3 separate regions of the Mus musculus genome follow, and regions 1 and 3 are each reported to be linked to region 2. The links are microRNA targets in miRTarBase. Many come from high-throughput screens and were not tested one by one. Region 2 holds a microRNA gene; each other region holds the end of a gene's coding sequence.

What was found. Region 2 holds the annotated microRNA mmu-miR-326-3p (CCUCUGGGCCCUUCCUCCAGU, at 4,914-4,934, opposite strand). A microRNA usually pairs through its seed, bases 2 to 8, with sites in the 3' UTR of a target mRNA and lowers its output. Matches are read on the target gene's strand: a 7mer-m8 pairs with bases 2 to 8, a 7mer-A1 pairs with bases 2 to 7 and ends in A, and an 8mer does both.
Region 1: the mRNA of Tars2 is a reported target of mmu-miR-326-3p. The part of its 3' UTR that is shown has no 7-base or 8-base seed match.
Region 3: the mRNA of Maff is a reported target of mmu-miR-326-3p. Seed matches in the 3' UTR shown: 7mer-A1 at 4,303-4,309 and 7mer-m8 at 4,710-4,716.

Annotation. Positions count from the first base shown.
Region 1 is chr3:95,733,900-95,744,114 of GRCm38, forward strand. It overlaps Tars2 (threonyl-tRNA synthetase 2, mitochondrial (putative)), which reads right to left. Exons shown (of 18, transcript NM_027931.3): 14 at 8,679-8,779; 15 at 8,417-8,518; 16 at 8,175-8,247; 17 at 7,423-7,537; 18 at 6,075-6,420. The coding sequence ends at 6,272. It overlaps Ecm1 (extracellular matrix protein 1), which reads right to left and starts at 5,670. Exons shown (of 11, transcript NM_007899.3): 1 at 5,474-5,670; 2 at 4,340-4,402; 3 at 4,113-4,217; 4 at 3,909-3,989; 5 at 3,734-3,814; 6 at 3,114-3,158; 7 at 2,573-2,892; 8 at 1,948-2,322; 9 at 1,300-1,520; 10 at 924-1,011; 11 at 248-571. The coding sequence starts at 5,543. The coding sequence ends at 341. It overlaps Mir7014 (microRNA 7014), which reads right to left and starts at 1,074; the gene lies at 1,012-1,074.
Region 2 is chr7:99,547,047-99,557,261 of GRCm38, reverse strand. Mir326 (microRNA 326) reads right to left here and starts at 4,993; the gene lies at 4,899-4,993. All of the region lies in intron 1 of Arrb1 (arrestin, beta 1), which reads right to left.
Region 3 is chr15:79,354,270-79,364,484 of GRCm38, forward strand. Maff (v-maf musculoaponeurotic fibrosarcoma oncogene family, protein F (avian)) reads left to right here. Exons shown (of 3, transcript NM_010755.4): 2 at 2,698-2,764; 3 at 3,152-4,807. The coding sequence starts at 2,729. The coding sequence ends at 3,586. Tmem184b (transmembrane protein 184b) reads right to left here. Exons shown (of 9, transcript NM_172608.1): 9 at 6,415-8,616. The coding sequence ends at 8,375. Among named protein-coding and RNA genes, the nearest start is that of Maff, 12 kb to the left of the region's middle.

The DNA.
Region 1 (10,215 bases), not on the chromosome of region 2:
TGGCAGGCTAGGCTGTAGCCCAACATAGACTACATCTTTTTCACTTTGACTCCCAACAGCTAGCTAGTTACTGGGGCGGAGTTCTATTAAGATATTTGATTAAGGTCATGATGAGAAGGGAAGTCAAGCCACTTAGCTCTGGTCCCATCACATAAGAAACATCTTCTGTTCAGGCAGTGGGAGCAGGCCACTGGGCCAGTCTTAGGGAGCTTACAAGGGTGTGTGTGCGCACTAAAGACAACGAGGATGCCAAATCCAAGAGGCATTTATTGTAATGAGTGTTCGAGGAGGGTGGAGTAGGCGGAGTTCCCCCATCTAATCCTCTGAGGCTCAGGGTGACTCATTCTTCCTTGGACCCAGGGGCGGGGTTGGCATCTGTTCCCCGAGTTGGGCCCTGCTCCCCCAAGCCAGTGGCATTCCCAGTGTCTCCAGCCACTAAAGCCACGTTCCTCAGGTAGTTGGTATTGAAGCAGTTGATTTGCTTATCTTCAGGAGACAGGTCACAGCAGAGGGCAGGGTCTTTCCACGAATTCCTCCGGGGACCACAGAGGTTCTCGATGAAGGCCAGTTTCTGAGAAAGCAATGTAAAGGGGGCATGCTGGGGCATGGGGAGGGCAGAAGGTCGGCATGGCTGCCCACTGGGATCCCTCTGGAGGCCCAGAGGCTGCCAGCTTCCTTTCCACAGCAGGACTGCCTGCTTGTCCCTGACAGATGTGTACATCTGGAAATGCTAGAAGCTTGAGGCCCAGGGCAGGGACAAGAGGTTCTCGGGAAGGAAGAAGCCTTCTAGAACTCCGAGAAATGATCTATTCCACTCAACCTGACTTCTGCGAACAGGCTTGAGGTACTAAAAAGAGGGGTAACCTCTACATCTAGCCTTCTGATTCCCTGGAGCCTTGGAATCACAGGTCACACACACTCACCTCCTCTTCGCCGCAGCAGGCCTGTTCTGGATATGGAAGCTCGCAGCAGCGGATGGTCATATTCTGGATCAGCCCCGGAATCTGTTTACTGTGGTTGGTATGAAAGAGGAAGAGCTCAGGGTCTCTGTCCCTTCCACAGCACCCAAAGCCTGCTGGGGTCGGTGGCTTATGCCTGTAATCTCATTACTTGGAGTACAGGGGAAAGAAGATTGGTCCAGTTCAAAACAGCCTTGACCACGGAGTGAAACTTTCACAATAAATAAACATCTCCTCACCCCAACAGCTCAAATGGAACTGGGAAGTCATGATTTTGACCTCCCCAAGGGAACCCCCGGGGAGGAGGAGGTTGTGGATAGGCAAGAGTATCAGGACTCACTGCTTGCTAAGGACCCTTCCACTTCCACAGAGCTGGCCCATGAGGTTGGGGGTGACTCGGCTGAGGTCAAGGGTCAAGATATCCCGGTCATAGTTGGGATAGGGAGCTAGGTGGGCGAAGCACTCATCACGGGCAGGACTAGGAGGGTAGTGGCAGCACGAGTGGGGGTGGGTCTTTATAGCCAGCTCCCGCTCGCAGTATCCATCCAGGGTACCCTCCCACTGTGGAGAGAGACAGAAGTGAGAAAGAAGCCTGCTGCTTGGCTCCTCCTCCTTACCACACCTTAGCCTTTCAGCTATGAGATGAGGCCCCAGGAGCTAGAGGGAGGTCAAAAGGGAGGAACACAGATGAGGCTCCTAATTGGCCACTGGAGATGAGCTGGACCAGTAGGTACAGAGGGTCGGGTGAAGCCATAGCTGGACGGATGGACGGCAGACAGATGCATATGTGGGGTCACGGGTGGATGAAGTCAGGATGGAAGCACGAAAACTCAAGGTGAACAGACTTGGATGACAGACACAACGGACGGATGGATTGACGGAGGGACGGACAGTCACAAGCAGACGAAAGTGGATGAATGGCTGTAGAGTCAGCGGTTGGAGCTGGGTGGGCAGACAGGCTCCCAAGGTGGCCGGGATGCCCACTTACGGCCTTCCATGTGCAAGTGTGGTTGTGGCCCTGGCGGCAGCAGCGCTGGAACTCCGTCTCCAGCCGAGTCAGAGCCTGCAGCTGCCTCTGGATGGCGTCAGTAGCTGGGAGGTTGCGTGGCACGGCGCGGAAGCGTCTCAGGAGACAGATGTTTTTGACATTGTCCGGTGTGGGCAACCCCGGGGGGAAAGGCAACTGGGGCCCTGAGGACATGCCATTCTGGTGGACGGGGCAGGGTCGGAGCAGGTAGTCTGGGCGAGGAGCTTCCTTCTGGAAGCAAGAGAATCGCTCCTCCCCACGCAGTCTGCAGCACAGGTGGGGGCGGGTCTTGACAGAGAATTCGGCCTCACAAAATTGGGTCATTGCATCCTCCCACTAGAGTGAGAGGGGTGGGTCAACCCAGTACCTCATTGTTCATATTTCTGCCTCCTCCCAGGCTCCAGGAAAGGACTCTAGGCAGGCAAATAGCAGTACAGCCGACCTGTGCTCCATCTGTACCCCGGGTGAAGTGTGGAGCACTCATGCGTGTGCACGCAGACACACACACACACACACACACACACACACACACGCATACACACGCATGCACGCACACATCCAGCAGCAGCAGCAGCCAAACCCTTACCACAAGCTTCAAACAGTCTAGGCGGTTTGTGTCGCTGCGGCAGCGACAGCAGCGGGAGTATCCGGTCTCCAGCACATTGAGGGTCTCTCCCTGGCGACTAAGGTGAGAGTAGCCAGTCTGCGGCAGGTTCCAGGGGCCGTAGATCACATGCTGACGCTCAGGAAGGCAGATCTGCTTCAGATTGTCTGGAGAAGGCCGTCCAGGAGGGAAGCCATCCAGCCGGTGGCCCCAGACACCTCTCCGTCCCTGCTGGCAGTGACGGGCTGGATTCCAAGTCCGGGGCTCTGGAGGGAGCTGGCCCGCCAAGGTGTGTGGCTTCACTGGAACAGAGAAAACAGTGGGGAGGAATGCATGCAGGCTGGCTGAGCATAGAGCATTGGGAGACCTGGGGTTGAAGAGAAAGGGCTGGGATAGTATGTGGGCTTCTTCAGTTCAGGGTCACTGAAAGGAAAAGGTAACTGCGACCCTCAGGCCAGCATTAGCTCCTTCCTGGGGCTCAGGGGCTAACCGTGGGAACAGACAGACCAGTGTGGTCACTCACCCTCTTTCTGGACAATCTCCTCCTGAGGCTGGGCAGGCGGGTCTACTGGGGTAGAGGGAGGTGGGTAAGCAAAAGGCTTGTTGGGATGGGCTCCTCTAAAACACAGGCTCCTGCTAGTTCCCATGCACGATGGAACACAATAGAGAGGCCAGAAAAAAACACGACTGCTATTTTACACCATTGACAGAGCTGTTGGACAGGCATTGTTTCCAACCGTTCTTCTCTTCTCTTCCTTCTTTAAAACTGGGCCTCATGTACTCATATGTCCCAGGCTGGCCTTGAACTCAGTAACGCTGACCCTGGCTGTCTGGGAACTTGCTCTATATACCAAGCAGGCTATATACCCCTCAGAGCTCTGCCTGCCTCTGCCTCCTGAGTGCTGGAATTAAAGTCACTGCCCAGCCTAAGAACAACCTTTGAAGGTCTGATGTTCATGTCAGTGCCACTACATCCAGTTGATGGAGTGCGGGAGAAAGCCAGCCTGGACTGTGTCAGACAAGCATTCCACCGACTGTACAGATAGAGACTGAGCAGCTCAGGAGAGTAAGTCCCATGTGCCCCTCCTCCCCAAGCCCATGGGCTCCGCAGGAAAGCTGTGCAGGAAAGAGGCAGTCACTCACTTTCCTTCTGTTCAATATGGACTTGGGGAGGGGGCTGCTCTTTCTGCAGGGGGATGGCTTCTTGAGGGACAGCAGGACCAGCTGCAAGATGGGGGAGGGCACAAGGGAGGGAGGTCAGGCTAGTGTCAGCATCACAGTGGGGTGGGCGGGGGTTGGGGGGCAGGGAAGCACTCACCTTTATCTACATTAGGGTTTAGGAAAGTGGGCCAGTCTTCCTCGTACACAGGGATGTCTTCTGGAGAGGAAGGGGGCTGCACTACAGAACAGGCAGTTGTGAGGCAGACAGTGGGGTGGGGGGGTCCCTCCCTTCCTGAGGAGCAGGAAGTACACTAGATTAGAGGTCTCAACGGGAACTGAGAGGGCTTTGGGGCAGCCTCACCTTCTCTTTGTTCCTCAAAGAGGGGAGGGTCATGCAGAGAAGTTACAGAGTGGTCAACTCGGAGTCTCCGGGTTTGTGGTGGGGAAGGGGGTGCTGCATAACCTACTAGAGGCAAGAGGGGAGACACTCAGAGCCTCCCAATTGCATGCTTGTTCCCCACAAATTCTACAGCCATGCTGTCCTGAGCACCCGTCTTCATCCGATCTGGTTAGTTCTGAGGCTCTCACCTTCATGGAGGTGCTGGAAGAGGCGCTCTGGCGTCATCTCTCGCTGGTCTGAAGCCTTGAAGGCTAGAGGAAGGAAAGACAAAAGTCAGGCAGTTTTGAGGCGTCCTTTCCTGGTCCTGGACAGAGGATGGGGAGGCTGTGGAGGCCGAGACTGTGGAAAGCCCGCTGTGGGGGAGCCACCTGTCACACACCTCCCCTCTGAGTGGCTGGGTTCTGAGTTGGGGTCTAAAAGAATGTGGCTGGGAATGGAGGTCTGATTTCCTGTCAGTATCTCCCTTGGATGGGGCTTGTGGCTGCCGTCCCCTCCAATGCGCTGATGTTCCAGGATCCACCTCTCTTCAAACTTCTTCCTATAGGCCTTTAAAAATACTTTTGGCCTTTGGGTGGGACGGTTAGCCAAATGTTTAAGTGCCTTCCCCTTCAATCTCAGCTTATTTTAGGTTTCTTAAACAAGAAAAATATTATTTGTGTATGTGTGGAGGGGGCCAGTGTGTCACCGTGGTGATGTGTATAGGTCAGAGGACAACTTGTGGGAGTCATTTCTCCCCTTCCATGTGGGTTACTGGGACGGAATACAGGTCACCAGGCTGGCAAAGCACCTTCACATCTGGAGCTGAACCGAAGGCACAAACCTAGGAACCAGGACAGCAGCGAGGTGGAGCTGTCTCAGACACGGCTATCTATAGAAGGATCTAAGTCTCTGTCCTGTCCAGAGTTGGTATTTCCTTTTGTTCAGACTTCAAAGCAGTGCGTGTGTGTAATAGGGGGTGAATGTGGGTGAACTCTAACTCGTCCTCTGACCAGAGTGAGCCAGTCTAGGCTCCCTGGCTCGGTAGGCTGAGTTTTAGCAGCCCGAGGGCTTCTTTTCCTCCTCACCTGCCTCCTCGTCCCTCCTCACGTGTTCTGACAGGAGGATCCTCACCCTGTAAACTCACCTGTCTTGTGTCTATTTGACTCTAATTTTTGTGTTTCTTAGCAACTACCTCTAGCTATTCTGCTCCTGTTCCAGCCTCCATGGTTAAAGGTTCAGCCCCACTTCACAGTGACATGTTCATATAAAGGAAGCCAATCACCCAACTGCTGAGCTCTTTGGAGCCAGACTCTTAAGCAACTGCTGACCCCACCCCGACTCACCTCCCTCAGAGGCAGCAGAAGCAAGAGCCAAGCAGGCCAAGATCAAGGCTGCTCTGGATACGGTCCCCATCCTGGGGCAAGAACTGGTCACTGGTCACCCAGAAGCTGGTTGTCACAGGCAGATCTAGACTTGAAGGGGTTGGGCCACTTGCTGCAAGCCTGCTCCCCTGGCTGTTGCTACTGCCGTTGTGAACTTCAAGGCCTGCTGTCTGTCTCTCTTTATATGCTATCTCCCGCCCCCCTGTTTCCTGCCATGACTCAGTCCCTGCTGCTCCTCCTCTTACAGCCACTCCTCCCAGACTCCTGGAGCCTCCTTAGCCTGGGAAGAATGGAGGTGATGGAAGGGAGCACTCCTGGATCCCCTCCAAACTGATGCAGAGGATCATGGAGCAAGTTGTCATCTGGACCCTTAATTTGTGCCTCAGTTTCCCATCTGCATACTGTCCTTTATAAAGAATGGATCTGACACTCTCCTGAGTGGGAGTGGGAGGAGAATGGCTGCCTGAGGCAGTGCCCTTGCTGGTCAGAGGCCTCAGTATCCCTTTGCCTCAGGTCTGGGAAAGAGGGAGTAAAGCATTCGGACTCAGATGAAGGCACAGCCTTGGCTTCAAGTATATTTTTATTCTCCTTCTATCCAGTCAGTACAGCATTCCTTTCTGTGGGGAGCCCCCACACCATGTCTATTTTCAGAGAGCAGTTCTGAGGCCTCGGGGACATGCGGGGCTGCCAGCTGGGTTACTGTCCCGTGGAAAGGGACGGACGGCTCTCATGAGTCTGTACATCACCAATGGACATGACTCAGAACACTTCTTCTGCATTGGGGACCCTGGCGTTCTGTAACTCCAGCAGTCTCTGCACGGACTCGGCCAGGTCTCGCTCCCCGAGCTGCCGGTTATCTCGCGTGCGTACGTTCACTGTCCTTTGACTCTGCTCTCTCTGGCCAACCACTGCAGGAAGAGGAAAGATTTGCAAACCCAAGCAAAAGTCACCCTATGGGTTGTTTCCTTTTGCTTTGCAGAAACTTCAAACTCCTGAATCTTTAGGAAAGGTAGGAGCAGAGCCTAGCCGTGGCTGAAGCCCATGCTTAGCTCGCCTGCCCTGCTGCTGACTGTCCACTCTGATGAGATAAGGAAGTGGGCCGGGCTTTACTCCCCTCTCCCTGCAGGTCAGGAGCCCAGGGCTGGGAGATACAGAGTCAGTTAGACAGAGACAAACATGGAGAGCTACACAAAAAGAAAAACTGTATGTGTGTGACCTGGGGGGAGGGGTACGGTACAGGAAGGGGAAACAGCAGGGCGGGGCTTGCTCTCAGTGCTGCCAAGGCAACGGGCATGCGTGATGCCCCAGTCAGGCGGTCTGGCTAGGAGTTTCTGCTTCTTGCTTCCAGAGGCCCAAGAGTCAGGAGCAACTTCCTTCCCTAAGACCTTTCTTGTCCCCTAGAGCTGCCTCCACCCACACAACAATAAACAAGGCAATTAATTAATGCCTTTATTGGTTTTGGTGCTGGGACCTAACTCATTGGAGGCCAGTGCTCCACCACAGAGCACTACAGCTTCTGGTTCACTGATAATCTTGCTACATACAGCCCACAGTGGCCTCACATGTTTGCCCTCCCTCCTGTACCTGCCAAATCCTGGGATTACAGGTGTGCCTACCATGCCTGGCTTCAACTGATGCCTTCTTAATCCTCTCCTGTCCCTTCCTCTTTGATGCTGGCCTGGTTAATTAACTTACAGAAACAGCCTAGGGTAGGGTTAATGAGAAGACAACTGTTCTGAGGGATGGAATAGGTTGTGGGAAGGAGCAATGGAAGGCAGGCAGATTAGTCAGGCTCCTACCCAGCCCAGGTAATGAGTCCCAATTAATTCAATGTACACAGAGCTAAACAATAGAGTTAGTACAGAGAATGCAGAGCTTGGGGCTCTGAGGTCTACGACTAACCCTCTTACCAAACTGAAAGTTGTAGTGGGCAAGCTGGGCCCGGCGGACTCTCCGGCTGAGGGTCAGTCCAGAGTCTGCATCGAGATCACTCACAAGTCCTGCAGCCTGCAGGCACTGTTGCACCTGGGATACAGATTTGGTGATGAGTAAATCTGAATGGAAGCTGAGCTATGATGGTTGGTTACTATTCTTCCTCGGATACTTGTCTCACATCCCCACTTCCTCCAATGCTCTCAGGAGCTGGCTAACTGCCTCTTCTCTGAGATACTGAGGCCTCCTTCCCATCCCTGACCTAAAACCTTTGTGTGCTTCTCACAGAAAATGAAGCCTCAATTATTCTTTGGGCTCTGTCGGTTGTTAGGCACCCATCTCCCAACCAGCTGTTCAACTCTCGTCCGTCCATAGTTTCTCCATAAAGAACCTCATGCGGCTCAGGCTGTGGACCTGTGCACAGCATGACCTTTCCTGATGCTCCTCCTGCCAAGTGCTAGGACTGCAGGCTCCTGTGGTGCTGCAGACTGAGCGCACTGCCTTCTGCACACTAGGTAAATATGCTACCAACTGACCTACAGCTCTAGGCTCACCCCTAACTATTTAAAAAGGGTCTTACTATAAAGCCAAGGCTGAACTCAATTTTTAGATGGAGAATGTTTAGCACACGGGAAAGCTGCCCTCAAGCCCTTCCCACTCTCCTGCAGAGCCTGTCTCACCAGGGATGCATGGCAGATGCCCTGCTGTTCCTGATCTTCTCTCAACTCACCTGCCTGGCATATTCCTCTTGCTCTGTCCTCACAGGGATGACCACCACCTGGAGCGGGGACAGCCACAGGGGCCTGTTGGCAGGAAAAAGGGGCAGGAAGTTATTCACTTTGGCTTTAGCCATTAGGCTTAGGTGTAGCTGTAGGGAGATCTGAAAAGGAAATACATAGGATAAGGTCAGAACCTAAGGCACGAACTTTCTGGCTGGAGAGAAGAGCAGAACTCTGGTGGCCAGTGACTCACCATTTCCCCCCACAGCTTTCTGCCAGCACTCCCAACAGCCTTTCCACAGAACCAAGCACTGCTCGATGAATAAGGACTGGACACTCTGGGGTACCTGCCGGCCTTGGAAGAAGGGGAGTGGGTGAACGGTGAAAGTCTCATGACCTGAGCCCAATCACTTCCCGTTACCAAGAACACTCTCTGATGGGGTAGGGTGTGGAGGGTTGGCTCAGTGTGAGGAGCAGTCAAAGGCAGGGGTGGGGGGCTGAGCCAGGGTCTATACCCCTTGTATTGTAGGTCAAATCTCAGTGGCAGCTGGAAGTCAAGCTGGATTGTTCCACACTGATGGGGCCGACCAAGGGCGTCGTGGAGGTGCACATCAATCTAGAGAAGATGGGAAGGGGAGAGACTCAGACCCAATAGCTTTCATTAGCTCCATCAGCCAATCTTCTCTACCCTGTCCCTGTAAGGAGAGCCGTGCCATGCAGACAGCCAATACTCCTTCCTTCCTCTCCACCTATGATGAGAGACTATCCATACCCCAGCCTCTTAATTCCCTGAGTTCTTCCTGAGACCTATACCTCGCCTATGCTGCGCCACACCCCGTCTTCTCTCTTAGTGGCAGTCGGATACTCTCTTGTAGCTGATGATCTACCACTGGCTCTGCAGCCCCTTTCCCATCGGCAGTCCCATCCCCCGCTTATGCCCTGCTCAGCTGTAATAGTCTCCAGTTCCCCTCATTCCCACTGCTTTGCTGGCTGATCGATGAGACAGAGCCCTATCCTGCTAGTCTTCTACTCTCCCATGTCCTCAGCCCTGCAGTACAACTGCTGAGGGCCACTTAGCATGTCACACGCCACCTGCCACAGATGCCAAAGCAAAGACTGATGCCACCATAGAAATCAGTTCAAGATTCAATTGGTCCCATGCAAAACCTTTTGCTCTATTCTCCTTGGGGATTTTCAAACATTTTCCTCTCTCAGCCATAGCTTGCTTACCTGATTTCTCTATTTCTCTCTCTCTCAGTGTGTGTGTGTGTGTGTGTGTAAGAGAGAGAGAGAGAGAGAAGCTGTCTAGGAAAGGGAATGGCAAACATGTGAGTTCCCTGGAGATGGCCCACCATTTTGCATGGCTGCGGTGGGTGAGCTCTAGGATGCAAGGTCAGCAGAGACTGCATCATCCCAGGCCTGCTCCTTGCTGCTGATAAGCCTTTGCTGTCACTGTAACACAGTCTAATGATGCCTGGGATTCAGCCCACCCTATTGGGCAAGTTTCCTGCAGATCAACATGAAGATGTATTTGCATATGGAAATGCTGTGTAGATGAACTGATTTCATAATTCCTGATAATGATTTTATAGAATTCCTAAATCGACACAAGCAATCTCAAGTCCCCTAAAGACAGAATAAAAGCTGCAAGTAGCTCTGTAAACCTTCATGTGTCATGGGCTAACTGCACTAGGACAAGAAAACAGGATTGGAACAAATTTATGGTAAAGGAAAACATTCCTTCTAGGTTAGGGATGGGGCCACTGTCTAGTAACTAAAGGTCATAAACTGAGAATGGACAATTTATTGTAGGAGCAAGGACAGGAAATAAATGATGGGCTAGTTTATCTATACAAGACTTCAAAAGAATAAGATACAAGGCAGATGATTTGTCTCCTGACAAAACTGTGCTAACTTGTGACATAAAAATTATTGCTTTAAACTTATAATGAACTCATGGAACTAGGAACAGATTATGAATGTTTAGTCAGGGAGAAGTCTTGTTGAAAAGACATGTAAACAACTCTGCTGTAACTCATTAAGCCTTATCAA
Region 2 (10,215 bases):
TAGGTGAAGCAGAAGGATCGAGAGTCTGAGATCAGCCTGGGATACACAGTAAGGCTCTAGCAATCAATCAAATGCCATCCAGAAGGACAACAAATTGCTGTTAAGAAACCAATCAGTTAGGAACCAGGGAGATGAGGGGTCAGTTGGTAAAGCATACACCACACAAACATGAATTTGATCATCCAGAACTTAATCCAAAAAAAGCCAGGTGAGTTCTTCTACCCCAGCACCAGGAAGGCAGAGGTAGAAGGGTCCCTGGAGTTCAGGCAAATCGATGCACTTCAGGTTCAGGGAGTTGACCTTGTCAAGAGATACAGTGGACAGCAACTGATGAAGAGACAGAACACTCACCCCTGGCCTCTACACACACATGTGCACACATACACAAACACACACAATTAGTTGACTAACAGTTAAAATTTGGCCTCTGTGTGAAGTAAAGAAGTCATGGCAGCAGCTATGCAAAACTGCGAGCCCCGCCCCCACCCTTACCCAGTAAGTTTTCCTCCCCATCCCCTCGTGCGGGCTCTCCTTCTCATGGACGCACCTGTTCTAGATACTTCTCGTAAGTTCTCTAATATAATATGTGTCCTTTAGTACCCAGCTTCTATCTCTTAGCGTTCTGCCTTCATGATGATTCACCCAATTACAGCCTGAGTCAGGATGCCATTGCCTTTCAGTTGAATAACACTCTACAGTATGGACGTACCACAGTACCTATCTACACATCTGTGACCAGAATTTGGTCCCCTAGAGATTAACTGTAACTCCCACCCTGACCCCACAAGGAGGGATTATTTTGTTCCAATCCCCAGAAGGCAACACTGGGGTCCCTGGGGTCCAGGTTTTAACTTGAACTAAACCTCTGGCCTCTGAAACCAGATGCCTTCCCACTGTGCTGTCCTCCCAGCATTCCTCACTCCACACACCTCTGTGTCCACACCCCAGGCTCCCAAAGGGGGCTGACCTGCTATGCACAGCTTAAGCTGAGCTCCACTATAGCCCCAAGTCACATGATTGGAGGGCTGCAGCCCCAGCCTTGGGGACCAGCTTTTGCTCAACCAAGGTTTTCCTAGACCCCAAACCAGAGGCCAAACACCCCATGTGCGAGGCAGGAATCTGCAGTAGTGCCCGGAGTTTTCATCTCTCCTGTTGTTTTCCTCGGCACAGAGGAAGGTGGCCCCCAGCAGATGGCCCTAGAGATCCATGAGCAAGACTACAGAGCTGGGCTGGCTGCACAGTGAGCTGGAAAACAGAACCAGCATAGATGGGCACAGAGCAGTCGCTAGTGAGGGTTTCTCTGCTGCCAGTGCCTTCACTTCTCAATCTTAAACATCCTTGGTTTCAATCCCCGCTGCCTCTTCCTGCCATCTAGCCTCGGACCATGCCAAATTGCACCTCCTCTGAGCCACCTAGCCCAACAGCAGGAAGTAGGTTGATGCTCTCTAATTTGAAAGGCCTAAACACTCCCAAATCTGAAACTCTGTGAGCATCAACAGGCCTCAAGGGGAAAACTGCATACCTGACCTCCGGCAAAGGGTCACAGTGAAAACAAAGAGGCATTGAACAGTATAAAACTGGAGCTAAGGTTGTAGTTCAATGTTAGGGCACTTGCCCGGTATACACAGGTCCCTAGGTTCAGTCCTCACCCCCCCCCACACACACACACACACATGTGCACACACACCCCTGCCTGTAAAAATCACCATTACCATGAGGCCACCAGTATAAGGCAAACAAGATGGCCCTCACAGACCATCTCCTTCTTCCTCTGTTTTTGGATAGGGTCTTCAAACTCCCTACCTCTGTAATTGAGGCTGAACCCTAGAACATCTTTCTCTCTCTCTCTCTCTCTCTCTCTCTCTCTCTCTCTCTCTCAAACATTTATCTATTTATTTATCTATTTATTTATTTATTTAATATGAGTACATTGTAGCTGTCTTCAGGCATACTAGAAGAGGGCATCGGATCCTATTACAGATGTTTGTGAGCCACTATATGGTTGCTGGGAATTGAACTCAGGACCTCTGAAAGAGTAGTCAGTGCTCTAGAGTCACTGAACCAGCCTCTAGAACATCTTTTTAAAGATAAGGTCTCACTAACTAGACATGAAGCAAATAAGAACAACAACGACCATGCTGCAGAGCCTGGAATCCCATCAGAGCCCAGCCCTGCACACACAGGTAACTAAGGAGGATGAGAGTGGGAGATGCCATCTTCCCCAAGGATGAGCACACCAATTGGTTATCCAATACAGATGGTCATACCTAAAAAGATACAGACAGTACCACACTGAGCAGGTCACAGTTAGGAACATATATATATGTATAGACATAACAGCAACTAATGAAAAAGTATCCATGAATTTGAAGCAGAGCAAGGAGAGTTGAATGAGGAGGTGTGGAGAGAGGAAAGGGAGACAGGGGAATACTGTAATTACATCATAATCTCAAACAGTAAAAGAAGTAATAATAATAATGTGATAATGATCATTATCATCATCGTCATCACTATCTGTGTAGCTAGAACTGGCTTTTTAGGCCAGGTTTGCCTCAAACTCAGAGATCCACCTGCCTCTGGCTCCTGAGTGCTGGATTCAAGGAATGTGCCAACACGCCCGCCATTCCCTCTAACTTCTGATCCTCTTGCTTCAGGTAGGTGGCCAACCTGACCAGTTTATGTAGCACTAGACTTGAACCCAGGACTTCATGAATGCCAGGAAAGCACACCACCAACTGAGCCACGTGCCTGGGCCCCGAGGCTACCACCTTGTGCCTACAAATTCAGTCAGCTTAGAAAACAACTTCCCATTTGATGAGAGCTTAGTAAATAAATATTTGAATGGGTGGATGGACAGATGGACAGCCCTCCCTGCAAGCTGTGTGGTCTTGGACAAACTGCTTAACTCTCTGCCTGAGTCTCCCTTTACAAGTGGGAACCCTATTCTGGGATACTTTGGAAGACTGAGAGCGAGAACACACATACAAGACCTCCTGGGGTCAGGAGGAAGTGGACCCACCCCATCCTGCCCCTCTGTTCCCAAGGCCAGAGGAAAGTACCCAGCCTCTGGACTGGCATAAATGTTTATGCCGATCCCCAGCCTCCTAGAGACAAGTTATTTGTTTGGCTTATAATTAATTGCAGAAGGCCAGGCTGGGCAATAAATTCTGCTGTGGAAACATAAACAGTTTTGCACAGAGCTCCAAACCCATTGTGAGGCCAGCAATGAGGGTCTGCTAGAAACAGAACGTCTGGGCTGTCACTTCTCCACCCCAGGCAGACAGAGCACGGGTCAGATGGAAGACCCGCTGAAAACACAGCTGACTTCCAGCATTACCTCCTCCAAGACCCAGCAGAACACTTGATTTATCTGTCTACCCAATCTGAACCTGAGGAAAGACTTGCCCCACCTAGAAAATGGCTGGGTAGACCGAGGAAGTAGGCTTGACTTAATGAGAGAGAGAAAAGCAAGCCTCGGCTATGTTCTCAGCATGGAATTTACGCTGCATACCTCTGCTGCCAGGCACTGGAACCTGGAGACACAGATCCCAGGGCGCTGGCATTCCACAGCAGGGAGATGGCAGATGTCAGCGTGTCTCTAACAGCAATATGATTACAGGGCTCTGCACAGTACAAAGTTGCTGGCCTCCAGGAGCCTAGCAACAGTCACAACCACTGGGGCTCTGCAGGGCAAAAACCACACAGAAGCTCCCCGGCGGGGACACACAGTAGGTGCACAGTTTTTACCTAAAAGAATGTTCTTTTCTTCTTACTGGCCCTTTCTGAAGTGCCTCATAGGTGCTGTGTAGAGGCTGAGAAAGGTCACAAGACAAACAAAGAAAGCTCGGGGAGCAAGCACACATTGACACAGGGCACAGGCGGGTGGGTGTGGTGCAGGCAGCATACAAGGTAATAAGGGCTATGGGAATGTGCTGGGCACAATCTGAATACCTACTGTGTGCCAGGTCCTGGGTTTAGTCTTACAGTATCTCTTTTGAGGCTTACCACAATCCCATGGCAGGAAGGATACAGTATTAACCCACTTTTAAGATAAAAACAAAAGTTCAGGAAAATTATGTAACTATTTAACATTTGCTGACCTGACAAGCAGAAGAGGTGAAATTCAATTTTCTTTTCTTTTTTTTTTTTTTTTTTTTTTTTGAGACAAGGTCTCACATAGTCAAAGCTGGCCTTGAACTGATCTCCTGCTCCGTCCGTCCCCCTGGTGCTAGGATTACACGTGTGGACCACCATCCCAGCTAGACATGGGATTTGAAACCTAGCCTAATAACCAGGTCCCTGATTTTTCTCGTAACCCACAACCTGCTCTCCCCAATTTTCTTCCATAAATTGGGTACTGACGTTGGGGAAGGACGGGCAGCCCCCACTGGGACTGCAGAAGAGAACATAGCTGGCTTCCTCACTGAGCTGTCAAGTTCAGCTGAGCTGCTCTGGAAGTGGCTGCAAGCCCTAAAGCAATCAGACTCCTCAACCAGCGACTGGAGTGGAGGCCAGGCCAGGCTTCCTCTAGCCCTTCCCCACGGAGAGCCCCATGTGGGCTCTGATCGTCCCTTTCCAGTCCAGCTGTGCCCCACAGTTGATAATGCCGGTCACCCTCCTAGCGTGTACTGCATTTACCTCCCAAGTGCTGAAATTACAGGCATGCACCACTACACACTGTTTATAGGTGCTGGGCATCTAGCCCAGGGCCATATACATGGGTTACACCCCCATCCCAGATGTCTGCTTTAAAAAACAAAAAACAAAAAAAAACAACCTAATAAATGAACAACACAAATGATCTTTCTTATACAGATTCAGGAAGGCTCTGAGCCCTGGGACACAAAAGATGAGGTCCTGAGAGGAGCCTGGAGCTGGTGTGCAGTTTTGCCTCGAAGTAAATCTGCCTCGGGACTGGAGGAAGGGCCCAGAGGCGATCTGAGCATAACCCGCCTTCACAAAGGCCCTGCCCCCAGCCCAACAGACAGATGAGGCTCGGAAGAGTTCTCCTGGTGCAGAACCGTACCCGCCATGGTCCAGGTCTGTGTGTCTTGTCACAGCTTCTGAAGTAGCCAAGCTCAGCTGAGTTCGGGGCCTGCTGCTCACAAAGGCCACACCAGTGGAGGTCTTGGTGATCCTGATGCATATCCTAGAGAAGATCCTTCCAGCGGGCTGGCAGGATCTGCACCCCCACCCCTACCCCCAGCGGCACGTGCAACCCAGAGTAGCTAAGAACCCCACCTGCCAGCCAGCACATACCATAGTCTCAGTGGCTATGCGGAGTAAGTCATTTCATCTCTGTGGCGGTTTGAATATGCTTGACCCATGGGACATGGCACTATTAGGAGGTGTGGCCTTATTGAAGGAGGTGTGGCCTTGTTGGAGGAAGTATGTCATTGTAGGGGTGGGCTTTGAGGCTCCTAAGCTCAAGCTCCGCCCAGTGAAGAGAGAGTCAGTCTTCTCCTGGATGCTGTCCAATCAAGATGTAGAACTCTCAGCTTCTCCAGTGCCATGCCTGCCTAGATGCTGCCATGCTTCCTGCCTTGGTAATAATAAACTGAACTGCCCAACCTGTAAGCTTTCCCCAACTACATGCTGTTCTTTATAAGACTTGCCTTGGTCACAGTGTCTTTCCACAGCAATGGAAATCCTAAAACAGTCCTCATTTTGCAAAAGGAGACAGTAAGAGCAAACCAACTATGCACTAGACACACCAAGGACTTTCTTACAAGAGCCATGCCTCAGACACTTTCAGAGAAGGACTGTGATCATGTGGAGCAGGTGAGAAATTGACCCCCTTCATTTCTGAAAATGGACCTGAGCGTGGGCCTCCTCTCCCACCTCCTCTGCCACCCTAGCCTAGTCTCCACTCACCCCGGAGGGAAGAAGCGGTCGCAGACACTCAGAGGACAGTGGCCACAGAGTGAAAGGACTTGAGCAGCTGGTCAGAACAGCAGCTTCGGGAAATCATGACAGATCCTCCTGCACAGCAGGAAACAGCCACTGCCCTGCCTTCTCGCCAGACATCCAAGAAAGCACTAGACCCTGGAAGCGCTTCAGAGCAAAAGCCTTGCACACTCAGGGCCTTGTGTCTGTGCACTCCCGCTGAGCACACCTCACTTCCCACTGCCCAACCTCGTCCTCACTGTCCACCTCCTGGGCCTCCCACGTGCTTTTATCACTTCCAGTCCCACATCACAAACCAGGCTTTGCTTTCAGTTGTCCTGTTCCCACTCTGTCCGGCACTCTTGATGACTTCACTGATACAGCTCATCCACAATTCCTTACGGAAAGTACACAGAAAGAAACCATGGTGGTGTGAACGAGAGTGGTCCCCATAGGCTTGTATGTTGGAACGTTTGGTTCCCAGTTGGCAGACTGTTTGAGGAAGGATTAGGAGGTGTGGCCTTGGAGGAGGTGTGGCCTTGGAGGAGGTGTGGCCTCGGAGGTGTGTCACTAGGGGTGGGTTTTGAGGTTTCAAAAGCAAGGCCCAATCTCTCTCTCTCTCTCTCTCTCTCTCTCTCTCTCTCTCTCCTGCCTGAAGATCAGATGTAAGCTCTCAGCTACTGCTCTGGGGCCATGCCTGCCTGCCACCATGCTTCCTGCCATGATGGTCATGAACTCTCCCCCTGAGGCTGTTAGCAAGCTCCTAGTTAAATGCTTCCTTTTATAAGTTGCCTTGCTCATGGTGTCTCTTCACAGCAATAGAACAGTAAGTAAGACAGTAACTTGGTTACTAATGTACCCAGCACTGAGCTGGGAAAAAGGATCCCCTAAAGTGCAAAAATGAGGCAGTCTCAAGAAGCTGGCGTGGCACTGTGTGCCCTGGCCTTAGCCCAGGTGTTGGTCAACTCTCTCAAGAAGTTTCTGACCTGAAAGTAGCTTCCACTCGCCACACAGGTGCTATCAAAGATACCTGCTCAGCCCTTCGCCCACAGAGCGGCACCACCCTATGAGGTAGGTATTATCCTTTCTATGGTATGCAGAAGAAACCAAGGCTCAGAAAGGTGCCGTGACTTGCCCAGAGTTACAGAGCTGCAAGAGCTCTTGCCAAGACTTGAACTCAAACCCAATGAGACAGATAAGAAGATGGTGAGTTCCAGCGTGCATGCGATAGAGCTGTAAAGACAGGACGAGGCCAGGTCAGCTTTGTAGCCTCTGTCTGCATAGCCTGTGTGGGCAGAAGGTGTCCTGTGTACAGGAAAAGGAGAGGACGGAGAGAGGGGCTTGAGAACTGGGACTTTTAAAATCATCTCCAAGCTGGGAGATCTTAGTCCCCAGTTCAAAGTATTTCCTCTTTTCTACTGCTTCTGCCTGCTTTCTTTCAGTACCAGGGCCAGGAAGGAAATGAGACGAAGGAAAGGGTACTTCTCCTTTGGGTCAGCAGCCCAGGCCCACTTCCTCTGAGCCCTCTCTGGCCTCCCTCCCTAACTCCGGCCCAAAGGACAGCCTCCAACAGAGCAGCTCCACACCTGGAAAAGATGTCCAAGGAAGGGAGGCAGGCCAGGGATGCAGTGTGGCTGGCAGGAGGCTTGCTTCACACCAATTCTGTCCCAGAAACACATAAATCCATCCGATAGCACACGCTTGCAATCCCAATATTCAGGACGTGGAGACAGGAGAATCACAAGTTTAAGGGCTTCTTCAAATGCATAGTGTATCTGAGGCCAGCCTGGGGTACAGGAGATCCTGTCTCAGCGTGTGCTGGGTGGAGGAGATGGAAGGTTGCAAGGAAGGAGACAAGTATAAGAGCACACAGTACTAGTACTCAGAAGGCTGAGGCAGGAGGACCACCTTGAGTACAAGGCCAAAGTGGCTTATATATAGTGAATCACATCTTGAAAACAACATATAAAGAAGCTCCTATCAATTAGGGGGTAGGGCTCTTCAGGCCCAAAGCCTGATCTGACAGACACCCAGGTATGGAAAGTCAATGGCCATTGAGGTCAAGCCAGTGTCCACAGTGTGGGGACAGCAGGCAGGAAGTTAGGGACAGGAACTGCAGGGTTCTTGGTACCACCTGAAAACCAGAGATGCTCCTGTAGGGAACAACTGGTGAGCTTTTAAGCTGGGAAGGCCTTGGTCTGGTGTGTTTCCAAACAAAAGGGTTGGTTCCAGGCCATATACTGAGCCACAGACCAGGCAGAAGACCAGTGGGTTGGCCCAGGCCAGAGCTGGTTGCAAGGAGCAGCCTTAGAAGACATGCCCACCTCACCGTTCAGACCGGATGTCTGAGCTGAGCCTGCCCAGGACAGGGAATGGGTTTCTCTACAGCGAGTGTGGATTCAGGTAACCTCTGTCCCAGATACCATCTCATTCATAAAGAAGCTGTGGCTGGAGAAACCCAGGACCGCCTGTGGCCAGGACAGGGCTCACCATAGTCCTCTGAAAATTCCCGGCAACAGGGTTCATTCTGCAAAAGGGTGATTTCAATCATAGCTGCTGAATGGCTGCAGAAAAGGCACCTCGCTGCTGCATGCTAGAAAGAGCAGTGTGCATATTAACTGCTTGATTATAACGTGTCATCAGCTTTGTCCTTTTTAGGATATTGAAAAAAAAAACTTGCCAAAAAAGAAAAAAATCAAAATTCTCCTTACTAAGTCTTTTTTTAAATGCCTTCAGTTTTCTCCCACAGCCCTGGGGCCACACAGACTCATGACAAAAATCTTACCCACCAGATGAGCCCTGTTAGTTCTGGGTGCACTCATTAGCACAGTCACTACAGTGAGAAAGAAGGGGTACCACTTCCCCACAATTTAGCATCTCACCCACAGACAGAGACAGGTATGGTGGGGTGCAAACCCAGCCTGCTGCCCTTTCTCCCACACCGCTTGGCCTCAGTGTCCCTAAAGACGGCACTCTAAACCACACAGACCAGCACACATGCTCTTTCCGGGCCACAGGCCCAAGCAGAGGCTGTGTCTCCTAAAACTAACAACACCCCCCCACACCCCCGCCTTGCACTCTGCTCCAGTGGGCTTCTGCAAGATCTGCTCTGCTGGAGGGAAGCTTGAACCCCTGCTGCCCCCAGTAATCTTGCTTCCGGTGCCATTTGCCCAGTAGCTTTAGATATGTGCAGCTTGCTTGCTTGTTTGTGACAGTTTCCCCCTTGATTTCTTGACCTATTTGTTTTTGTTTTGTTAACTAAAAAAGGTGGGGGAGGGACCCACAATGCCACCCTGGTTGGCCTGGAGCTGACAGTGCAGAGCAGGGTGACCTCATCCTTCTACCATGTGCTTAGATTATAGGCCTGCACTACTATAGCTAGCTTCAACCCAGGTCTCTCTCTCTCTCTCTCTCTCTCTCTCTCTCTCTCTCTCTCTCTCTCTCTCTCTCTCTCTCTCTCCCCACCGTGTGTGTGTGTGTGTGTGTGTGTGTGTGTGTGTGTGTGTGTGTCTGAAGTAGTCTGCATTCCTAAGAAACTCCTTACTGAAAGCTATGAAACTCGAGCCACCATGGGGGGCAGGGTTCCAGTCCCTGCTGAATGCCTGTCCCACAGAGCTCCCACTGCATCTCTGAGTCCTATCAGATGTATCTCCCACAGCGTGCACGAGGGTCCCCTGTTCTGTTAGTGGCTTCTGAGTCTTAATCCTGGATTGCTGTCCAGCTGTAAACTGAAACGCCCTTGCCACTCTCTTAAGAATGTTACAGCCAGCCGGGCAGTGGTAGTGCACACCTTTAATACCAGCATTTGGAAGTTAGAGGCAGGAAGATTTCTGAGTTTGAGGCCAGCCTGGTCTACAGAGTGAGTTCCAGGACAGTCAGGGCTACACAGAGAAATCCTGTCTCAAAATACAAAACCAAAAACAAACAAACAGGATGTTACAGTTGGAGCTAGAGAGATGGCTCAGTGGTTAAGAGCACTGACTGCTCTTCCAAAGGTCCTGAGTTCAATTCCCAGCAACCACATGGTGGCTCACAACCATCGGTAATGGGATCTGATGCCCTCTACTGGCGTGTCTGAAGACAGCTATAGTGTACTCACATATATAAAATAAATAAATCTTTTAAAAAAATAAAATAAAAAGAACGTTACAGACAGCTGGGTGGTGGTGGCAGTAGCTTGACACACACCTTCGATCCCAGCCCTCGGGGGGGGGGCAGAGGCAGGTGGATCTCTGAGTTAAAGGCCAGCCTGGCCTACAGAATTCCAGGATAGCCGGATCTACACAGAAAAATCCTGTCTTTAATAATAATAATAATAATAATAATAAT
Region 3 (10,215 bases), not on the chromosome of region 2:
GAACCCACACCTGCCCAAGTCCCAAGTTCTTCAAGCTACATCCATCATGAGAGACACAATGGCTTTTTGTTCTGTAGAGATGGAGTCTTGCTGTATAGCCCAGTCTGGCCTTGAACTTGGTATGTAGCCAAGGGTGAACTAAAATGCTTCAGCCTCCCCAACCCTGGGATTACAGGGTATGTGGGAGGTCATGCTGGCCTGGTGGCTCTTGTTTAGTCTTTGACTTGTTTTGATTGTTTGAGATGTAAAGATGGTCTCATGGAGCCCAGGCTGGCTTTGAATTCACGATCTCTATGATGATTGGAACCTTTGACCCTTCTGAGTGTTGGGATCACTGCTTTGAGCCTCAACTCTCCAGCGGGCCCCAAAAAACCCTGCTAGCCCTGGGGCCACAGTAGCCGTTTCGGTCAAAACTGTCTTGAATGGCCAACTTCCCTTTCCTGCCCAGCTCCTTCCTGCTGACTGAGCTGCTAGACCCCTGACCTGGTAGGAGTTCTTCCTCAGAAGCCCCAGACGGTCCCCACCTTGGCCTGAGTCACACTGAGAGTCCCACAGTTGTCACATGAGCATCTTCTCTAGACAGACACTCTTCTCAGCCCTGGGGAAACCATAGAGGACTCAGCAAGGTTCCTGCAGTTGAAGAGGGGACATCCTCACAGGGCAGACAGACACATGGTGCTGCATGCATGTGGTAAAGACTCAGTGTGTGTCAGCACACAGGGTGCAAGTGTGTATGGAGGCCAGAGGTTGGCTCTTGCAGTCCATGACTGCTTGTGGTCTTATATGGGTTAGCTTGGTCTGGGGAATCTATTTTTTTAATTAATTAATTTATTTTTTATATATATGACGAGTACCCTGTAGCTGTCTTCAGATACCAGAAGAAGGCGTCAGATCCCATTACAGATGGTTTTGAGCCACCATGTGGTTGCTGGGAATTGAACTCAGGATCTCTGGAAGAGCAGTCAGTGCTCTTAACCGCTGAGCTATCTCCCCAGCCCGGGAATCTATTTTTTACCCCTGTCTGGAATTACAAGTGGACACCACACATACCCTGTATTTATATAGGTTTTGGGGGATCCAAACTCAGGGTTTCCCACTTGCTCTTTTAAATGTACTTATTTATGTATAGGAGTACACTGTACTGTAAAGATGGTTGTGAGCCATCATGTGGTTGACCCCCGCTCGCTCTGGCCCCACTCGCTCTAGCCCAAAGATTTATTTATTATTATATGTAAGTACGCTGTAGCTATCTTCAGACACACCAGAAGAGGGCATCAGATCATATTACAGATGGTTGTGAGCTACCATGTGGTTGCTGGGATTTGAACTCAGGACCTTCGGAACAGCAGTCAGTGCTCTTAACCTCTGAGCCATCTCTCCAGCCCTTTGAATATTTATTTGTATGAGTATTTTGTCTGCATACATGTCTGTGCATTGTGTGTTCTATCTCTAGTGCAGAAAAAAAAGGAAAATGATTGGAGAGATAACCCAGGCTGGCCTCGAAGTTGCTATGAGGCCAACAGTAGCCTTTAAGTCCTTCTTGGCCCTCTACCTCCAGGGTGCGGGATACAGGTGTGCACCACACCAGCTTCCCTCCATGAGTTTCTATCCACTTGTCTCCCCAGTCCCTGTCCATGGCAAACTACAGCTATTCAGAAAATGGCCACTAAAGGAATGTGAGGCTCCGAGGCTCATGGGGAAGGCTCTAGGACCAATGGGCTGGCTTTAGGCTAGGGGATAGCTGCTGTTCCCTCTAGAGCAGGTGTTCTTAGCCTATGGGTCTTGTCCCCTTTGGCGGTTGGATGACCCTTTCACAGGGGTCACCTATCAGGTATCCTGCATATCAAATATTTATACTACAATTCATTAACAGTAACAAAATTACAGTTAGGAAGTAGCAATGAAAATAATTGTATGGTTGGGAGTCACCACACTATGAGGAACTGTTAACAGGTGGCAGCTTTAGAAAGGTTGCAAGCCACGCTCTAGGACCATGCTGAGCAGTGATGGGCAGACCCAGGGAGTCTGGGACTCCCAGAGGCAGGAGGATAGTGAGTTTAAGTTCAGCCTGGATTACATGGTAAGACCATGTCTTTAAGACAAAGAAGGCAGGTGAGATGGCTCTGTGGGTAAAAGGGGCTTGCAGCCAAGCCCAAGGGTCTGAGATGGATTCCTTAGAACCCACAGGTGGAAACTGACTCCTGCATATTATCCTCTGAGCGCCACACAACTGTCACAGCGCTGGTGTGCCTGACTAACGCACACATAAATGTAAAAAGAAGTTGAAACAAACCCAAAAGTTGCATGCATACCCTGGCCCCATGTGGGAAAGGAGAGTGGAAGGAGAGTTCACATTTGTTGAGTACCTAGTGTATACAGGCACTGACTGACCTTGGTGTGGAGAGGCTGCAGTGAAACGGGAACTTCGGTGGAGAAGGGGATGGGGAGGGACAGACCATCCATTAGGACACCTCTGAAAAGGTGGCACTGGGCAAAGACCTAGATAATGAGCCATTATGGGGAACTGGGGCAATACAGGGAGAGCAAGAGCGAAGGCTGGATCGTTGGGGTCAGCGGAGGTTGCTATCAATTCTGAGATAGAAGCCTTGAATGCCAGGTCCGGAGATTGGATTTTACTCATGTAAGTAAAACATGAACACACCAACCAAGGTGACCCTGAACTTCTTTCTCTCCCAGGTCTCCAGCCCAGAGGTCATCTTCTGCGAAAATGGCTGTGGATCCCTTATCTAGCAAAGCCCTGAAGGTGAGGCTGCTAGCTCCTTGTAGTCTCTCTCTGCTGCTGCTCCTGGTAGAGCACCGACATCCCAATTCCCCTTTCCTTCCTGGAAGCCCCAAAGGCGACTCAGCAGCAGAGGCAGGTTACTTCCTGTTGAGCGCGCTTCCCCCATTGCAAGGGGCTTTCCAGGCTGGGTTTCTCAGCTGGGTCCAGGACTTGACGCGTGGTTAGTTTGAGCCTTGGGTGACCTCCTGTAGGCTGATGCTGGTCCTGCTAACTTTCAAGGTCTTGGCTCAAGTCCAGTAACCGCCGAAACGGGGAGAGTGGGGGCGCAATGAGAAGGGGGGCGCCATGGGAAGTGGGGCGGCATCCTCAAGCACGGGCCCCGTGCCTCTGTTTCCCCATGGCCCTCAGGTCAAGCGCGAGTTGAGCGAGAACACGCCGCACCTGTCGGATGAAGCGCTGATGGGGCTGTCGGTGCGCGAGCTGAACCGCAACCTGCGCGGGCTGTCGGCGGAGGAGGTGACGCGGCTGAAGCAGCGGCGCCGCACACTCAAGAACCGCGGCTACGCGGCCAGCTGCCGCGTGAAGCGCGTGTGCCAGAAGGAGGAGCTGCAGAAGCAGAAGTCCGAGCTGGAGCGCGAGGTGGACAAGCTGGCGCGCGAGAACGCCGCCATGCGCCTGGAGCTCGACGCGCTGCGCGGCAAGTGTGAAGCGCTGCAGGGCTTCGCGCGCTCCGTGGCCGCCGCCCGCGGGCCCGCCGCACTGGTGGCGCCCGCCAGCGTCATCACCATCGTCAAGTCGGCGCCGGGCCCAGCCCCTGCTGCTGACCCCGCCCCCTGCTCCTAGTACCCGCCCCCACCCCACCACACCCCTCGGAGGCCACTCCCTTCTTCAAGTGCCTGAGTTCCTTCTGCTTCCCATTCCTTTCCTCTGCCACTCGTTGTAGTGACTTCACATTCCTTTCCTGGGCTCTGACTCTTGCAGGCCCCCAAACTGGGACCTGATGGCCCTGGGGAGGGGCAACTTTGCTAAGTTGGGGGTGGGGGGAGGCGTTAGGGTTCTAAGTTTCCCTGGGCTGAAAGTCCGGCTCAAATTGAAAATGAGGTCGTGTGGCCAGAAGGAGAGCTGGTGGAAGAGGCTTTGGATTGTGCCAGCATGCCCTTCCGACCCTCCCAGGACCCAGGACTAGGTGTGGCCTTGTGAGACTGTCCTGCTGGGAAGCAGACCTCCCAACTGTGCTTGAGACTTGGGAATGCCAGGCTTTCCCAAGCTAAGAGTCTTTGGAACGGATCAATGGAGCTCAGTTGACACATGGGGAAGCTGTCAGGCAAAACGACCTAAGGCCACTGAGCACGGAATTGTTGAGCTGCAAACCCAAGTGGGGCCTTCTTACAGCTGCCTTAATGAACATTCCAAGCGTGGCTTTCACAGGGGGAACAGTACCCCGGGACTGAATAACATGGTAGGAGAGCCTCCCGGGCCTGGGAGACAGCTGTGTGGTGGGGAAAGAAGCTGAAGGAGAGAGAAGGTGACACAAAGGGTTGAGGTGAGGAGCTGGCCAGCCAGAGAAAGATGGATGGAGACGACCACTGGTAGAGAGAGGCAAACACTACAGTCCTGATGCAGGAGAATGGGGTGGGTGTGGGGTGACCTGGAGTTACGGCTTCCACTTTGGTCCAGAGTATCTGTGGTGGTCTGAGGGTGCTGATCACTGTCCCCCTGGGAAGTCCAGCCCTAGCACCTTCCCAACACTGTATACAGCTGACTCTTCCACACTCTTATTTATTGCACGAATCTAAGTTATTCTCACCAGCCAGAGTCCAGCTCCTCTTCCCTGGGAAATACGTGGGCCCTGAGCTGGACTTATATTTTATATCTACAAATAAATCACATTTAATCTTATATTTAGGGAGAGCTGGGTGGCAACAATAGGTTTTTTTTTTAAAAAAAAAAAAAAATTTGCGCAGCTCCCAGAGTTTATTTATTTTCTGACTTCAAGTGAGCCAGTTATCTGCCTTGAGTATTTTGTAGACTTTCTGAATAAAGTCAAGTTCTCTTTTTCCACAAGAGAAGTGTATGTCTTGGACTATTTTGTGTGTGCTCTAAATGAGTGGCCTCGGATGGGTGGGAAGGGACTTATGGGTGAGGGGAGGCTATATCCCATTGCTAGCTCTCACAAGCAGGTGTGGATGGAGATAGGCAAGAAATGAGCTCAGACTGTACAGAGCCAGGGAGAGACAGGTCCTAAGCTTTGAAAACTGTCTTCCTTCTACTTTCACATAAGTCTGATTTTTTTTAAAAAAGATTTATTATTTTATGTAAGTACACTGTAGCTGTCTTCAGACACACCAGAAGAGGGCGTCAGATCTCATAACAGATGGTTGTGAGGCACCATGTGGTTGCTGGGATTTGAACTCAGGACCTTTGGAAGAGCAGTTGGTGCTCTTAACCACTGAGCCATCTCTCCAGCCCCAAGTCTGATTTTCTACAGCCCTGTGGGAACTACATCCCAGTGTTTTTGAGCCAGGGAGAGAGAACTACTGAGTTCTGGGAGCTAGGCTTCAGTCTCAGTCAGGGGATGGGTTTGTATGCATACTCACTGACTCTGCCATCCTGGTGAGGGGTGGACTCCTCTGGTCTTCAGCCAGGGCAGTAGGGTTTTTCTGGGTGGTACTGCCTGGTTTCTTATAGCTCCAGTTTACTTTGAAACACTGGTTCTCAACCTTCCTAATGGTGGGATCTTTTAATACAGTTCATGTTGTAGTGACCCCTAACCATAATCTGTTGCTAGTTCATAACTGTCACCTTGCTGCTGTTATGAATCACAATGTAAATATCTGATATACAACCCCTATGAAAGGATTGGCCGACCCCCGGAGGGGTCACTTTACTATAACGGTGCTATAGAGGACTAGTCTAGAAAAGCCAGAAGGGCTGCAAAACCTAAAAGCACAAGAGATGCTAGAGGAATCTTGTATGTGGCAAGTCCGGGAGTGAGGGAAGAGGCCAAAGAAAGGGGCAGAGGGGAGAGCCCGATCACGTGGCTTGGCTGGACCCACAGAACTTTCTCCCCCTCAGATTGGGGCTGTGCCAAGACTTCTTCCTGAGAGGCCTGGCAGCTGGAAGGGGTATTGGGTGGGGGTGGGGGTGTGCACAGACAATGTAGGTAGGCCGTTTACCTTCGGGTTATAGGCTGCTTAGGAAGTTCCCTCCCCCACGTGCATTCCAGTCATGCCTGTCACCCATAGGCCAGGCTCTTGGAAAGGCATGGTGCATGCAGGGAAGGTACCCATGACCAGGAGCTCCTGCCCTAGGCTCCTGGTCCCTAAGGATGGAGGGTTGGCTCAGGGAAGATGAGGCAGGTGTGCAAGTCTTCTGGGAGATGCCTTACAGAAGAGGTGACCACCTGCCTCTGGAAAAAAACAAGGACTGAGGCCCAGCCCTCTCAGGGATGGGGAGAGGAAATTCCCCGTGTTAGGCTGTCTGGGAAGAGAGAAGAAACTGTCAAATAGGGATGTGGGACCTGATTTTAGACCCAGACGGTGTAAACGCCCCCATGACCTACATCCACTTCACACACAGGAAGAGAGAGGGTGGACGTCTCTGCCCACGGCCACTACACTTCTCCCAGACAAGAGGGGAAAAGAAAAAAAAAACCTCGCTGGCAGGCAGAAGAGATTTCAATACAATCTATATTATCTCATATATATATTTCTTCCTGACTTTATTTGCTTGCTTCTGTCACGCATTTAAAATATCACAGAGACCAAAATAGAGCGGCTTTCTGGTGGAACGCATGGCAGTCACAGGACAAAATACAAAACTAGGGGGCTCTGTCTTCTCATACATCATACAATTTTCAAGTATTTTTTTTATGTACAAAGAGCTACTCTATCTGAAAAAAAATTAAAAAATAAATGAGACAAGATAGTTTATGCATCCTAGGAAGAAAGAATGGGAAGAAAGAACGGGGCAGTTGGGTACGGATTCCTGTCCCCTGTTCCCAGGGACCACTAGCTTCCTGCCACTGAGTTCCCCCACAGCCTCACCCATCATGTCACAGGGCAAGTGCCAGGGTAGGTGGGGACCAGTGGAGACAGGAAGCAGCAACATACTTTGGCCTGGAAGATAAGGAGAAGTCTCAGAAACACACTGGTGGAAGCAATCCCACGGCCGTGCCCCAGGAGCTCCCACCTGTCTGCTGCCTCCCTGGGTGGCTTGGGAGCAGCTGGCCAGGCCCTCTGGGTGGGGCCGAGCTGGCCTCTGGGCCGTGTGGAAGGAAGGAAGGAGGCTAAGAAGGTTGCTAGGATGTGACAGCCCCATGAGGTCCCTCCCTATGGACCCCAGGGAAGGAACCTGTTTGTTCCAGAGGTGACCAAGGGGAGAGCATCCACTGAAGGCTACAAGGTAGGGCTCCCCACCACTCTCCACCTCAAGAGGCTACTGGAGCCAAGACCAAGTGCTGCTTGAATTCTGCTTACCAGGCCCCTGCCACCCTACCTCTGAGATCCCAGCCCTGGGAGGCAGCTCTGGGATGTGCGTGTAGAGGGAGCCAGGGAGAGGGTGGGTGGTCCCAAGGATGCCCAACCCAGCGCTGCGGAACCCTGAGTGCCAGCAGCTCAACGAGGAGTGCCTGGAGCAGACGGGAACTGGGGAGGGGCTTTCATATGTGACTAAGGCACAGAAGAGATGGGCCAGGGGCCAGATGGAGCAGACCACCAGGCCCTGTATGGTCAGGGGACCCAGGAGGGTCTGAGACCACCCCTACCTTGGCCCCGCTGTATGACCATCCCTCCAGCCTCCCTCTGGAAGTGATCTGTAATGTGGAGACTGACTTTTCCCATGACCCAGGAGGGATAAACCCCAGGGAGACCAGGGCCTAGCAGGAGTCTTTGCTCCATTGAGGAGGTGGTGGGGAACCCAAGCCCTGGCACAGTCAGGAAGTATAAGGGAGTGTGGGGGCTCTGCCCCCAACTATCAAGAACTGGACCCAAGTGAGAGGGCAGTGTGGGCTTCTGGCTGTCCTCAGCAGGCAGAGTGGCCACAGTGAGGACACCCAAGGATCCAGAGCCCCACATGTCACCAAAGGGCCCATAGGCACAAGGCATCCTTCCTAAGTGGGCCCTGAGGCTCCTGGGGGCTGGCTCTGGTCCTTGCAGCATGCCAGACAGGCCTAGGTTGGGAGAGGGGGAGGGTCCACAGAGCATTCACGTCTCTACCTGCCCAGAATGTGACAAAACTCACACTGGACAAGGGTGACCAGGGAGAAGCGGGCAAAGGCCTGGGGAAAGACCAGGCTGGGTCTGGGTATTGCACGGTGTAGGGTGGGCTGGGCCTGACAGCTCGGCAGATATCTTGTTGGGGAGGGGGCTTAGGATGCAGCTTCTGGCCAACACACGGTACAGGATGAGTCGCAGAGATGTGACAGCTACAGCCGCTGTCCTCTGCCCCTGCCCCAGCTAGTGCAGGGCTGGCCAGGGAGAAATATTCCTGAGGCCTGTTCCTCTGGAAGTGATATGCGAGTTTCTGGTCCAATAAATAAAAGGGCAGCAGCCATGCTGTGCTGGTTGCTCTGCTCCCCAGCCTGGCTGGGGGCTGGGGGAAGCACCTCTCCTTCCCCTCCAGGGCCCACACTTAGAACTCATCATCAGAGCTGAGCAGCAGAGTCTTCTCATTGTCGCGTGCACCACTAAGGCTGTGGGAGCGGGAAAGGCTGTGCGTGCCGCCACGCCAGGTGGGCCCGGGCTCCAGAGTGGACTGCTGCGTGTACTGCTGGTAGGCTGGCGAGAAGTTGTGGATGGCGTCCTGCACAATATCGTGTGGGTTCATGGTCTCTTTGAGGCTGCTGGAGATGCTCTTCATGGGGGCGCAGCGGCCTGAGGGGAGGGCGGAGGGGGGGGCACATGAGGCCGGAGTGGGAGGAGGAAGACTTGGTCAGTCCCTGCCCCTACTCCTGGGACAGACCCCACCCCAGTGCTCCTGGGACATGAAAGGGACAGGACACCAAGGCTGCTGCTGACCAGGAGAGACCTGGGGAGCTGTGAAGGAAGCTAGGACAAAGGGGCAGAACATAGCACTCAGGGAGGAGAAGACAGGGCAGGACGGGAAAGCTGCAGGCAGTCACTTGGCCCACCAAGCTCTAGTGCTAGGCTGTGACCCCTAGCCTGGGATGGCTGCTGAACCAGGTCTCAGGTACAGTAGCAGGCTGGCCTGTTGGCTGTCCCTCCCAGAGGGCAGGAACTCGCTACCTTGACTTGCTTCTAACTCATCCACCTGTGCCCCACAGCATCAGGGTAGGACTGGGGACACAGTGTAGGCCACCAAGCCCAGCTGGAGCGATGAGCTCAACACTGGGCCCAGGCCGTGAATGGGACTCATACTCTCTCAGAAACACTACTAAATGCCCCTCCTGTTACTTTAGGGGCACTGTGTTCCAGAACCGAGCAGAGTGTACTTCAAAACCAGAGAATGGAACGAAGGCAGCCAAGCTCTGCAAAGGCAGCTCTCTCAGTCAGGTGCTCGGGGCTCTCACCTAGGAGTGCCAGCTTGGAGGAGTGGGTACACGCGGGGCTACAAAAAGGCATGCCAGTGACGGGAGCAGACTGACGTGCAGGACAGACGTGCAGACAGAGCAGAGAGCAGACCTACCGTATGGGCCGTACGTCAGCACTACCCGAGGCCAAACCCAGGGCAAATGCAGAGGAAAGGGGCAGGGAGAAAAGCCGGAGGGATAGAGAAGATAAGAGACAGCTGAGTGAAAAGGGCCTGCTCGCCCCAGGCCCAGTGACGCCCCCACCCATCCCCAGACACCCAGGCTGCCCCTGAAGGGCAGTGCTCGTGCTAATAGGGGTCACCCTGATGGCAGTGGAAGTTCCACCCCATATCTGAGGGCCCCTCTTCCCACTTCTCCTAGGTCTGCTGGAGCTATGCCTACAGGGAGCTCTGTGTCTTACAAAACTCACTCCAATGTATAGTGCTAGAAATCAAGGCTCAGAGACGATCACAGAGAGTGTTCACCCCAGCCTAATCTGAGTGCCATGGTTAGGAGAATGGACAACAGCCCGCAGCAGCAGCTTGTCCTGGGTGGGCTGTTTCTTCTAGGGTGGGTGCATCTATAGGGGAGGTCCTGCCTGAGGGAAGTACAGGGAACAGCCACCATGCCACCAGTAAAGTGCTCCTGCAGAGCCTCTAAGACACAACACCCCTCTGTGCAAACTAACCTGGCTTGCTTCTAGCAGCCTGGCTAACCAGGTTTAAGGGATATGGATAAAAGTTATCGGATCTTTCCCACTGGGGCCTAGCAGGAAGCGGGGTGGGGGTGGACCAACTAGCAACTCTCGGCAGAGCAGGGATGCCCTCAAGCACCAGGGTGGCGGCTAAAGCGCCATTGTGTCAGGGAGCACAGGCCTGCAGAGGCAGCTGAAGGTCACTCCCAACCGAGAACAGCAAAGGGGCTGGGCAGGGAGTCCTGTCTT